2 linked regions of the Drosophila melanogaster genome follow. The protein of the gene in region 1 purifies or fractionates together with the protein of each later gene. This does not show direct contact. Each region holds a gene or a part of one and is shown on either strand. Other genes may lie near its edges. The genes, in order: mon2 and capu.

What was found.
Region 2: the proteins of mon2 (region 1) and capu purify together in Drosophila melanogaster (affinity purification with western blotting, with the first as the bait; one study listed by BioGRID). This does not show direct contact.

The regions. Positions count from the first base shown.
Region 1 is NT_033779.5:8,117,737-8,125,535, forward strand, and holds the start of mon2 (monensin sensitivity 2), read right to left. Parts: upstream 6,275-7,799; 5' UTR 6,079-6,274; coding exon 5,956-6,078; intron 5,700-5,955; coding exon 5,568-5,699; intron 5,510-5,567; coding exon 4,973-5,509; intron 4,797-4,972; coding exon 4,225-4,796; intron 4,168-4,224; coding exon 3,737-4,167; intron 3,674-3,736; coding exon 2,958-3,673; intron 2,848-2,957; coding exon 2,509-2,847; intron 2,422-2,508; coding exon 1,768-2,421; intron 1,672-1,767; coding exon 1,484-1,671; intron 1,331-1,483; coding exon 1,168-1,330; intron 1,114-1,167; coding exon 191-1,113; intron 126-190; coding exon 43-125; intron 1-42. Other genes in the region: CG8673 (uncharacterized protein), read left to right, coding at 6,656-7,001, 7,069-7,799. UniProt on the Drosophila melanogaster protein: May be required for traffic between late Golgi and early endosomes.
Region 2 is NT_033779.5:3,899,615-3,904,773, reverse strand, and holds the start of capu (cappuccino), read left to right. Parts: upstream 1-1,913; 5' UTR 1,914-2,179; intron 2,180-5,159. UniProt on the Drosophila melanogaster protein: Acts as an actin nucleation factor and promotes assembly of actin filaments together with spir. May play a role in intracellular vesicle transport along actin fibers, providing a novel link between actin cytoskeleton dynamics and intracellular transport.

The sequences.
Region 1 (7,799 bases):
CTAACATTGGACACAATCGTATGTAAGTCGTGTATATTTTACCCTTTGATGCTGGCGCTTTTTTCATGGATACCACAAGTGTTGCAATGGCTTTTAGCACAAACGATATCTCTGATAGCCGGAACCTGACAACAAAGTAATTTACATGAGTCATATGAGTATTCCAGGATTATTTTTAATCTAATCGTACCTTGGAAGCGGACACTTTCCGCTTTGTCTCTCATCGTCGTTAAACCGTTTGAGCACCTCTTGGAATCGATGCAACAGGGCGGTGACTGCTAGTCTGCCGGCAAAGTCCTTGCCACCTGCTCCCGCGGCCCCAGCAGTCAACACATTGGCGTTGAGACGATTGTTGTTGGTGTTGGCATGGTCCTCTAGCAGCGAGAACTGCAGAAGGGTCTCGAAACACGTTTTGGCAAAAATCTCACGCAGCTTCCAGTCGGATTCGTAGCAAATGTTCGTGTCTGAGGCGGAGTGTATAGATCCCTTGTTCAGCAGCACTACGATCTGCATGATAAACTGGTGTGGCATTTCGTGCGAGTGAGGCAACACCTCGTCCCTCAGCAGCTCAATAACCTGACAATCGATCGTTTCATCCAGCACGATCTCCTCGAGACCGCGATCCTCGATGGTGCACACACTCGCCGGAAACAGGAACTTGTCCAGGGTATCGGCCAAATCGTCCCACAAGCTTGCGAAATGTTGCGGCTTAGCTCGCGCCACCTTGAGACCAGTATGCAGCACGCTAATCAGACTGGAAATGGCCAGCTTCCATGTGCTGGAGGAAAGGCATTTGTACTTCATCGCCAGCGGCGTGCGCAGAGCCTTGACGATGTCATGCAGAATCTGCTCCTGCACAACCGAATCCTCGGTGGCCGTGGTCTGGTAAAGCTTCACGCAAATACTGATTGACTTCTCACCGAAAGGTATGTAGTTCATGCTGACCACCTCAACGGAGGCATTGTTGGCATAGTGTCCCGAGGACTTCGCATACTTGTGCTCCACACTCTGCTGAAATGTGGGCGGTGCGCAAGCGAATTTACTAAAGATCAGCAACTGCCGGAAAATGGCAGGGATAAGCTGGCTGATGTGGGAATCGGGTTTTGTCGCCTCCTATTCAAAGATTATTAATTATATATTATAATGGATTGTCTTGTAAATGCTTGCCTTCTGTATTAGTTCCATGCAATCGAGAATGCCATCGTGTAGCGGCGTCAGCAGGGTGTCCGACACAGTGGACATGATGTAGGGAACCGCATCGGTCTGGACGGGAATGCACACAGCGTTCGTCAGTACCGTACAGAATTTGTCAAAGTCTGCGGCAGTAAATCTGAAAACAATTCAAATATAAATTAATCGTTTTGAAAAAAATAGCTAAACGATATTAAACATAGCAAATGTATAAATTGATCAATTTAAAATATATTATATTTTTGGGGAATCTATGACAATGCGTTCTTCCTAAGTAGGTGTGTCTACTAACTTGACTTGAATGTGCTGAAAAATGGCGGGAAAGATTTGGATCAGGGCGGTGAGGAAGGCCTGACTGGGAATGTAAAAGTCCTCCTGAGTTTCGGCGCCATTGCTATTTTGCTGCTGCAACTTCGCTGACGTCGATGTGGACATTTTGGTGCTCTCCATGCCAATGCTAAGCCAAATGTTCCAAGCAATCTGCTCAAAAGTAGGAAAGACAAAAGTTCATTTAGTATAAATAAACAAAAGACAACCACTTTGGTTGACAGCTATCTTAATCTCTAAACTACTCACAGTCCAAATTTCCTCGTCCTGCTCCTGTGCCGTCTGAGGATCCTTCAATGCCCTCTCTGTTCGCTCTGCTGTGTTGTGGTACATGATCTCCTGTAGAGACTTCAGAGCAGCAAGTGAAACTTCACCATTTTTGCTCAACGCAGCATTCTGGATGAACTCTAGAATTAGTGACCAGGCTCGCTCAAAATCACCCAGCATCTGAAGCAGCTCCCGTTTTGTATTGAACACCCTGCAGACGCCCGATAGAGTCAGCACCTGCGTTTCTGCCCACTGCTTTTGGGCGGTGTTGCGCGAGTGATGGATAAGAATGTTGCCACTGGCGTCCACCTTCTCGTTGCTGGCCGAGCTGCTCAGAGCACGCACGTTGTCCAGCAGCGGGAAGAGAACCTGCCAGACCAGCGCCTGCCACGTGGGCGGATTAAGCAGGCTGCCGTGGGCGGAGATGGTGGAGAAGAGCGTCTGGCCGGCCGATTTACGCACCGCCGGACGCAGATCCACACACAGCTCGCCCAGCTTGGCGTACAAGCACATCCACAACTTATCGAACTGCGGCATCTTCACTGTGCCTGGGAAGTCGGGCAGAATGGACACATCCTGCAGCTGAGTGGACATTAGCTTGTCTTGGTTTTGATTAAAGAAGTCTGAAATATTCCACTGCAATCAAAGTACAAAATTAAAGTAACTCAATAATAATAATACTATGTATGCAACAGTTTATCTAATATGTATAACATAGCTTACCATGAGACCGATAGCCGTCAAAGAAATGTTCAATTCCTGGGTCTGGGAGCCGAACTTAGCAGCAGTGCTGATGCACAGCGGCAGACACCGCCATGGCATTACGGTCAGGAAATCTGTGATAACCAACTGCAGGCATTGGAATGCTGTGCGAATTAACGGCTCGCCATGGTGCTCGTTTACAGCACCAATGATCTCAATAATGGCTGGCCAGCCAAACGAGAGGATTTCCCCTGCAGTGTTTAGGATCTGAAGGACGCAATCCAGCTGTCGCTGACGTACATCTGCGTGCAGGACAGTAGACAACTCAGAGAGTGGACTCAGCAGCATTGTTTGTAGTTCCTAAACGTGAAAGGGGTAAATTTGCATTTTGTTGTGGTACTATTTCTTTGAAACACTTTTCAGTGACGTTCTACAATAATTGTTAAAGAAATACAGAGGGGTAATCTTACCATGTTCTCCTTGAGGGGCGTTTTGTGCTTGAACTGTAGGGCAGACTTCACCAGGTAGGTAATGGCTTCCACGCCCCACTCCCGCATTCGAATATGTCGATGTTGGCACACCTCCAGCAGGTGATTTGTAAGTGGTCGCCACAATACCTTTATGCGGGGCATGTTTACTAGGCCAGTCTCTAGCAGTTTGGCTACCGCAAAAAGCGATGGTTCCCGATTGGCATAAGCAAGTTCCATGGCCTCGTGGGAGAGCTTGCACAATGCATCGATTAAATGATGCAGCGCTACATCGTCCAGATATTGACTGGACTCGAACAGCTGGCTAAGCATTTGTGACAGGACCGGAAGATCAGCCATCACTGCCGTTTGAATTCCCACATTAGCCTCTACAGCTGGCTTTGGCATGGCCTGAAGACTGCCTCCGGTAGAAGGTTTCAGCCCCAAGATCCACACTAGATGCTGCAGCGTCTGCAGCACAATATGCCAGGAGGTACCCAAAATCCCACCATTGTTGTGCGCTAGGAAAAGAATAGCTCGCATACACTGTAGATTCTTGTTAGTCAGCATCACGGGCGCTTGCATCACGCTGTGGGGCAGCGATGCCGATGGCAGTGGTGTACCCACCGCTACGATCTGGGGTCGGAAGTCTCCTGCATCGCCACTACAGCTATTGATGAACTGGCTGCTTAGATCTTGACTACCACTGCGCGTGTGACCTGTAACGGATAGGTTTGGATAAATAAATACACAATAAATAATAAATACAATTAAGAACTTACATCTCAAGTCACCATCCGACTGTGTGGTATTGGCAAATATGGACATGGCATAGTGGGGCGGAAAGGAGGCGCGGCACATGGCCATTATAAAGGCGTCTCGGGGCTGCAGTTGCTCCAGCATTCCGCACAGAGCTGCATAATTTTGCATAGCCTTGAGGATGTTCTCCGTGGTGGCCTCGTCAATCGACGTCTCAACCAACGGAATAAAAGCGCTGAGCAGGGCAGACCAGCTGGAATTCACCAGTTGGAGGCACAGTGGCTTGTGCTCCTCCTCAGTGATCACTGCCGTATTGTGGCTGGGATGAAGCTCCGGGGTTCGCTGAATGACACCTCCAATCGATCGAGTCATATCCAGTAGAATAGCATGCCCAACCGAGATGCCATAACTGTCGGGAATATTCGATGCATCTATCTTATCCAACATTTCCAAGCTGAAAAATAAAATTATAAATAAGATTTTATACAAAAAAGCTGATATTTCAACTTACTAAACGGCCTTTGAGACGCCTGGCGCATATGTGGCTACCAAGGGAAGGTAAGCACCTCGAAACATGAAGCCACATTGATTGCTTCCCGACATGGCTGTCAGTGAATTGGCGACTCCATTCTGCTGGCCATTCAGCATGGCCGATGCATTGATCAGGGAATATCGAATGTAGCTGCCCATGGCAGCAATCATGTCATGCACAATATTGGTTGCATGATTTTTTAAGTCGTACGACTTGCAGAAGAATGCAATCAGTGAAGAGCGCGTCACCAGCTTATGGATAACCTCGAGGGCCAGGGCTCGCTGCCAAGCTGGCTTATCCGGATCCAAGAACTTGATAATCAGCGACAGAAAGATCTCACACTCTGTTACCAGTATAGTGTGGTATTTTTGTATAAGTATAGCCACGAGGCGCAGCAAACGCATGCTAATTGGGAAATAGGGTTTCTCGGCCGGCACAGGAGCGTTTCCATTGCTTGGTGCAGGCAGCTGGCGATGCTTGACGTTTGGCGAGAAGAGCTTTATGACCAAGGCACAGACTCGTTCCTTAAGTAGCAGTCGAAAGTCGTTACTCTATTGAAAAAAAAAGGATTTAATTAATATATAAATAAAACTGATCTTTTGGAACTCTGAAATTTCAGACTTGCTTTTGCTTATTTTCTGATCTAAACTCCTATAGAAACAGCACAATTGTTTAAATCGAAAGACTTGAAAGTCGATTCGTCGTCTAGGCCGATTTGTAAACATACCTCGTGAAACACGGCACTGAAGTTGGTCAGCACGGCCTCAAGTAACTCCAGACCAAAGGTGCGCGTCATTTCGGTCATGCCCAACAGCCAGTAGGGCTGATCCGCGTTTACCAACTGCACAAGATCCTGAAATAGCAGGAATGCATCCGAAGCAAAGGTCTGCACATCCTGATTTCCGCCCTCTCCCTCAGCTGGCGAACCACTGGACTGTTGCTGCTGGAGGCTGGAAACCGAGTCTTTCTCCAGGTACACTCGCTCAAACACCAGGGACACCAGCTGCCGGATGGTGGCACCGGCCGTATTCACAATTGTGGGATTTTTGGCGTAGTGCAGGCGAAAGCACAGAACTAAGGCCTTGGCCAATGTGTCGCCGTGCACCACCGTATTGGTGGTCAGCAAAAGAGTTACTGTTTGCAGCACTTTGACTTCCTCGATGTTGTTCTCCATTAGGGTCCACAGTGCGTTGGTGATGTATAGGGCGCCCTTCTGGTCCACCACCTGCTGGGTGATGAGCCGCTGCATCATGCCTAAGCAAAACTGGAAAAAAGATAGGAAAGCAATTAGATATATTTACTATATAAATGGCTGCTCTTACCTTGATGATCTTGAGGTCCTTGGTCTCGCATCCCTGCACCAGCGGATAGAGTATCTGGTTGACGGTGTAGTACACCGAGTTTTGCTGGCTGCTGCCAGCTGTGCAGAGCTTGGAAATGGCCTCCTCGCACGCCTGATTGGGAATTGGAAACGTTAGAGAGTTAATTTGCAGGTGGAAATGTCATAAAAACAATTTCATATGCGCTGGCTATCAATTTCATAATTGCGTAGAGCAAGCACAGGTGGAACCAGAGCAAACCACCCCCCGCCCACCGACGTCCTTCCACCACCACCCAACTGGGTTGTTGGGTGACACACACTCGTGTGTCGGCGGATAAGTGCCGCAATTAGACAACCACGGCCGTGAATCACACGTCAGCAGGACTCACCTCCTTGATCTGAGGATACTTCTTCTTGGTCTCCAGCGAGAGGGTCTTGAAATCCGCCTGCAGGGCCTCCACAAACTTGTGCACGTCCTGGCCACCGCACCCGCCCCCGCCCACAAACGACATGGTCACTGGTTGTACTCGCTCCTGGTCACTTGACACTCACTGCACCGGATGCGTGCGACATTTAAGTACTGCGACCGATACACGCATATGCTACGCAACCACTTTGGACTCGAGAAAATGCAATAATAATGCAGCGCACAATGAAAGCCGTGAAAAAATTGTGATTCGTTTTGACAGCTGACGTACACAGTGCAGAGTTGCTAGTGATTGGCAACGCGAGCTGGCCATGTTAACTAACATAAGCAGAACCATCATCAACAGTGGCCTGAAAAGCGCCCTTAACAGAGCAGGAGTTTCGGTGAAATTTTGTGGGTCGCCGGAAACGGAAAATAAAGATAATGGCAAGGAAGAAGTATCTTTACCAGGATGAGGCCCTAATCCCAAAAGCCATATACGTTAAATTCCATAAATACAACATCCAAAAAGGATAAGATAAGACTAAAAAATAATCTGTCAAGTATGCTTTTCATGTTTTGCCTATTTAAGCGAACTTTATAAACATGACTTTTGGGTGCTTGGTTCAAATCCACCTTGTAGAGCGGTCACATTCCCGGAAAACTAGAACTAACTTATAGCCATGGCTGGCCGACTGCTGCGCTGCATCCTGATACTAATCCTTGTCAGCTTTACTGTCTTCACGTACGTTTCCAAAGTAGGGGTAATGGAAAAAGTCGACTATTTTACGACAGCGAAACCTGATGTAATGTCAAAAAATCCTGCAATACAGTTAGTGGGCGAAGCGATACGGCTAAGATCCTTTAGGGAGCCTATTAAAGATTTCGACGATGGATTCGCCGTTCAAATTTCAGGAAACAGCAGTGAAGGCAACAAGGATATCTATACAACTATTGATGGCAATATAAATGTTGCAGATTCTATTGCGGCAATTAGAAGCAGAAGAATTGATGAGGAAAAGCTCCATGGTGAGAACTATTTAATTATTCATTAGTCGACTCATATTGATGTTGTTACTTTGCTTTTCTTCAACAGATGACGGGCTAGACTCAAAAGATATTTTAGCAAAGAAATCAGTGGTATTGTATTCAATAGATACCGAAGTTCCTGTCCGAATGCCGCTTGTGAAAACTATCTACAAACCTGGTCACCTGGACAGTGAGATTGATATGGAAAGAATATGTCCGCAAAAAGGGTTATCGACGCAGTTGTTAGTTTTAATAACCTCATCCCTTCGGCATTCGGCAGCCAGAATGTCCATACGGCAGACTTGGATGCACTACGGCAGCAGAAGGGACGTGGGCATGGCATTTGTCCTGGGAAAAGGCAAAAACAAATCGGTGAAGAAGGCCATTGATCAGGAGGATTTTATGTACCAGGATCTGATAAGAGGACACTTCATAGACTCGTACAACAATCTCACTCTGAAGACCATTTCTCTGCTGGAATGGGCTGATCTTCACTGTCCGAAGGCTAAGTACGTTCTCAAGACGGACGATGACATGTTCATCAACGTGCCGAAGTTATTGACCCTCATTAGCACGCTTAAAGCCAATAGAACGATCTACGGACGACGGGCCGAAAATTGGAAACCCATTCGAAACAGGTGGTCTAAATATCACATATCCAACGCTCAGTATGGAAAGCCTACCTTTCCCTACTTCACCACCGGACCCGCCTACTTGCTCACTGGTGACATTGTTCACGCTCTGTATGTCCAATCCCTGAATACTGCATTCTTAAAGCTGGAAGATGTCTTCACCACG
Region 2 (5,159 bases), 4.2 Mb from region 1:
AGTCAGCCCAAAATGCAAAATAAACATGACCAATAAAAATCAAACTTCGACACAATGCGAAAAAGGGGAAAGGTTGGCAAAAGTTTTTCGACTCCTCATTAGCTTTTGTCTCCATTGGGGCATTAAATTGGAACGAATATTTGTTTGCTCGGTTCGACTAATTGCGCTGCTAATTTCAATTGTTCGCATTGTCGGCAAGCAATAATAATGCAAAAATTGTAATTACAAATTAACAATTGGTCGTCTGGGTCCCTCGGTGACCTAAAATTAGATTGTGTAAATTTGCAAATTAATTTGCCATTGCACAAAGAGCTCCGTGCAATTCAGCTCGGCAAAATCAGAGCACACAATATCAATTTATTTACTGTGCAATCTGTAAATAGTAGAACATGGAGTCATTAAATTGCAACTGCTAAAAAAAAAACTTGAAAATTTAGTACTGCCAGTCAAAAGTCCAAGTGAGTTGCATTTACATAAAAATAGGCTAACAAAAAAAATATCTACACAGCGTCATACAAGACCGCAAAAATATGGAAATTCAAATAGAAACAGTATCTTTTAGCAAAAAGAGAAAATCTTTAAAATAAAATCATAATAGCCGGCAAATGGAATAATCAACAGACATCAAAACGAATTCGAATTAAATTTTAAACTGCGGGAAGCTTAAAACCGATTTTGTAAACTACAACTGGGTGAAAAGTTCAATACAAATACTTTTATTTACTTTTCACCTTCATTTGTGAAAGGTGATTACCGAAAAATCATCAGCCAACTATAGCAAAACTTTCTCCCAACTTGCGGATGAAACAAAAATGATACAAATTCCTTTTTGCTTTCTTTTTTCGCTCTAAAATTATAAAATCGAAATGGGTTGTAAAAACAATCAGTTGTACAGAATTCTTTGCTTGCTTTCGATTGTTAGTAAAACCCTTGAGCACTCAGTGATATTGTAAAAATACACAAAATATTTAATTGCACAGCAAAGTATAAAAGAAGGGGGAATTATCTTTAATCCAATACTTGTTTAGCTCTGTTATGAAATATTTGAGTAATAAATCCACATAATTGATACTTTTAACAAACAAAATAAAAACGTAATATGTGAGCATTAAAAATGAAAAATGTATCAGTATTTTATTTGAATAATTGCAAGCGGAAGCAAGGAATTTAGTAAAATAAAATAATTTCGTTTTTGAATGAAGGTTACATAAATTTCTCTTAGCGATAAAAACTATTTAATGGATATTAAAGATTTAAGGACATTGTAAATAGATAAACAGAGTAAACCAAAGAGTTTAGAAATTTAATTTGAAATAAATGTGTTTAAAACATAATCGAAAATATTTATTAGAATAGTGAATAATATCTGCATTTTTATGAATGGGTTACTGTGGCGTTGAGTAAGATACATCTATAAATGGTATTTCTTATTTAATTAATGATCTTACTTTTAACTATGTATAATAAAAAAATAGTTTTAAAAATAGTTAAGGAGTTTTATTTAGTCCCCGAACAAACTCAGACCACCCACGCATTTTTCAAGTATCCACCTAGATATAAACAAAGATGTACTGGTAATCCAAAACCAAATATGATCAAAATAGCCAATAACTTTAGTCTAAGTCTGCGACTATATTAAACTGTCCATTTTCGTTCTATAATTTTTACTCAAACTAAATGTAAACTATTAAATCTGCTTTTAAAAAAAAAAAGAACCGAGAGAACAGAAATGTTCACGCCAGGCGATTGAAACATTTTACTGACCTTTTTAGTGCGAAACCAAAAGTTTAAACTAATTTTAATTGTAAACCTAGACAGTAATGATATACGATATATTATACAATGTAAATCAGAATATACGATAATTATAAAGTAAATAAAATGAAATTTAAAACAAGCAGTTCGTCTACACCGTTCAATTGGGTTAGGCATACAAAATTCTGTCAAAATTTGTGTAATTTTTCGTTTCCTTTTTTTTGTTGTATATCGTTTTGGTAAGATGATTGTGTATCCAATGGAAGAGCTCTATCCGGCTATGATGGTCATAGCCATCACATTGTTAGCCCTTCTGCAATGGGGTATTCGTGCCACAATTAAGCCCAAAATATTGGGCCCACAGAAAAACGCAATAAAAAATGGAGTAAACAACAAAAGGAGGAAAGTCCTCTCCGCCATGCAGGTAAATTGAAAAATGTTTGCAATTGTTTTTACCATCTATCTATGCTCTTTTTGCGGTGCGCACAATTAAGGTGGAAAAATGTAGATCGACTGTCAGATATTCTTACAGAAACTGAATATATTTTGCCTATCTGAGCATTAAACAACAATGACCATTAATGATTTATCAGATTTAAAGACCAGTATATATGTATAATATATAATTAATAATCTTCATATATATTATTTTTAATTACTACAACTTAGGCACAACACTAGTATTTTTAACAATCATTGCACTTAACAGATTTTTGTTTTGATTTTAAAAAGTGTATTCAATTATTTCGCAACTTTAAAACTCAATTTTTGTGGAATTTTATTTTTTGACTGCTTGGCAACTCTGACCACCAATGCGTGCCTGTGTGTGTGTTGCTTGTCAGTCTGCGTGTGTGTGTGAGTTTGCGCTGCTGGCAAACCGCAAAATGGTGACATTGTGCAAATAAAAAACAATTTACGATAAACATCAAATTTCCACAAATTACCTTATATTTTACGTGAGTTGCGAAACAGATTGTAAAACGCGAAAACACACACAAACCGAGGGAAAAGTGAAAAAAAAGAAAACCGCGATTCGCAGATTTTACACTGCAATGAACATTTTGTTTCACTGTTCACCATTGTTTGCCAAGTGTGGAATAGGGGCGAGAGGTTTGGAAACTTGGGGGCGTGGCTAAGAGAGGTGCCACTTTAAGCGTGCCGCATGCCCCCACCTGAATCTCGAATTTTGCAATTATTTTTATTGCTCGCCATTTTGCTCGTCTGATGTTTTCCACGTTTTTTTTTTTCACCCCCCAGCTGCAACCTGACGGGGGTTGGGGAATGTGTTTGGGGGCAGAATAGAGGTCGTAGGCCATTTCGAGGGCCCTTCATAAATTTCCACAGTGCGGAAGAAGGAAAAAAAATTATTCTTTATATGAGGGAAATAAATAAAAAAATGCTTGTTAAGCTGCGGCGCTGTATGTTTGCGCATAAAAAGCATACAAATTATGCAGGCACTGTAAGAGATTAAAAACTAAATAAAAATAAGTGTGAAAAATTGCTTCCTAAATATATAACGAGAAACCCTTTTCAATCTTAAATAGTATCATTGATCAAACTTTTCAATCGCACCTTTATCAACACCTCAGATTTTCAGAGCAAAAGAGATTTGCAGCCATCTTGACATTTGTCGGCCAGTATGAGGCGCCACTTTCCCACGATTTTCCATTTCGAAGAGCTCATTCCTGCCCCCTAATTGATGTCGCCAGGTGTCGTCGAACCACATAAACAGGGCTCAACGGCAAAAAAAAAAGAAATCCAGAACAGCCAGTTCACTGGCCGCATTGTGCGCCAGAGGGCCAATAATTAGGAGTGTCTTTAAGATGGGTCTAAAAAATGATAAGAGGGCTGGAAAGCAGATAGCGACATGACCAACTCAAATAGGCAGCGGGGAAACTTGGCCTAGACTGTGTTGACTTGCTGGCCAATGTAATTAGGGAGCATTAGGATTAGACCGACTGTTCCCAAGCAGCGGATAACAAAGCACTGCACAGAGAGAAGATAATTAGGTCTAATTTGTACTATTAAATATACTTCTTTAAAGGTATTAAATAAAAATTCTACTTAGCTCGTGGGAATATCAGAAATTAAATGCCAAGTAGTTGTTAGAAAAATATTGAATAATCCTGAGAAACATACTTCTGATTTTCAGTGCAAACGCAATAAGCCAACTAAAACTTGGCCAACGGCAAGTTGGAGAGAAGGAGCAGAAAATGTGGTAAACTTTTTGCTGTTTTGGCGTAAACAAAAATAAATCAATTTCTTGGTGCGCACAATTGTTAAGATAGTAGATAGGACAGAGTCCATAACGACAGGACCGAACAACAGGATAAGTCCGCAGAGTCATGTCAATGGCCGGCGGCTTTCGAGAAATGGAAATTTCGAAAGACGCCAGGCATTTTTCCTTAGATTCTTTTGCAAATATTCCAAATTCAACGGAAAGTGGAATAATATTTGCACGACTTGCGTATGTAAAGCCACTTATACCTGGGACCATGCTGATTGCATTTGGAAGTATTTTCAGGTGCCTGTGGCAAATTTAAATATTCAAGTGACCTTTAAGAAGAAGTTTTTATAAACAAAAACAATTTAAACATTTCTTCTTGGCACAACTCATATACAGAGTTCCGTGGATTTCCGTGGCATCGCCGATAATTATTTCTTGAAACATGCTAGAATTCAATTTCTAAAACTCCAATCAAATTACCAATATACACGTCTCGAACAGAAACCTAATTTGAATGCCAGCGAAGCGGGTGAAATGTAGTTAACTTTCAGTCGATTTAGTTTGGTTTCGAGCTCCCTTCAATAACCCTTGTTCTAAGCTCCAAGTCCCCCATACCGTCACCATTAGTTCTTATTCCCCGGGTTCTTGTCGCTATTTCTGCTGTTCCTGCTGTTGCATCGCATTCTCATTGACAAGTTTAATTGATGGGCGTCAGCGTCAGCTTTTGGCTTCAGCTCGACGGAGTTTGGGGAAAAGGCCATGGCCAAGACACCATCCCGCATACCCCACTTTGCCCATCACACTCTGACCCCCGTTGTACAGTACACCCTCGATTACCGGAATGGCGACGCGACAAAACCGCAGAATCTAATTTGGCACAAACCACCAAAGCAATTAAAGTTGCAGCTCTGCAAACGGTGTCCGATGCGAATGTTCCCCAACTGTCTATCTGTCTCTGTCTTTCCCTCGGCGCGTTTGTGTGTGTGTGTGTGTGTGTGTGTGTGCGAAGGTATCGGTGTGGGTGAGTCCCTGTGTCGGTGAGGTGTCACTGCTATATGAATCGCGATAGCAATCCAGAAAATATCACACTTTTGACCATTATGCGGCTTAAAAATGAAAACTCAACAGAATCAGTAACTAAAGATTGTTTTATGAATAAATACTTTTAGAATTGTTC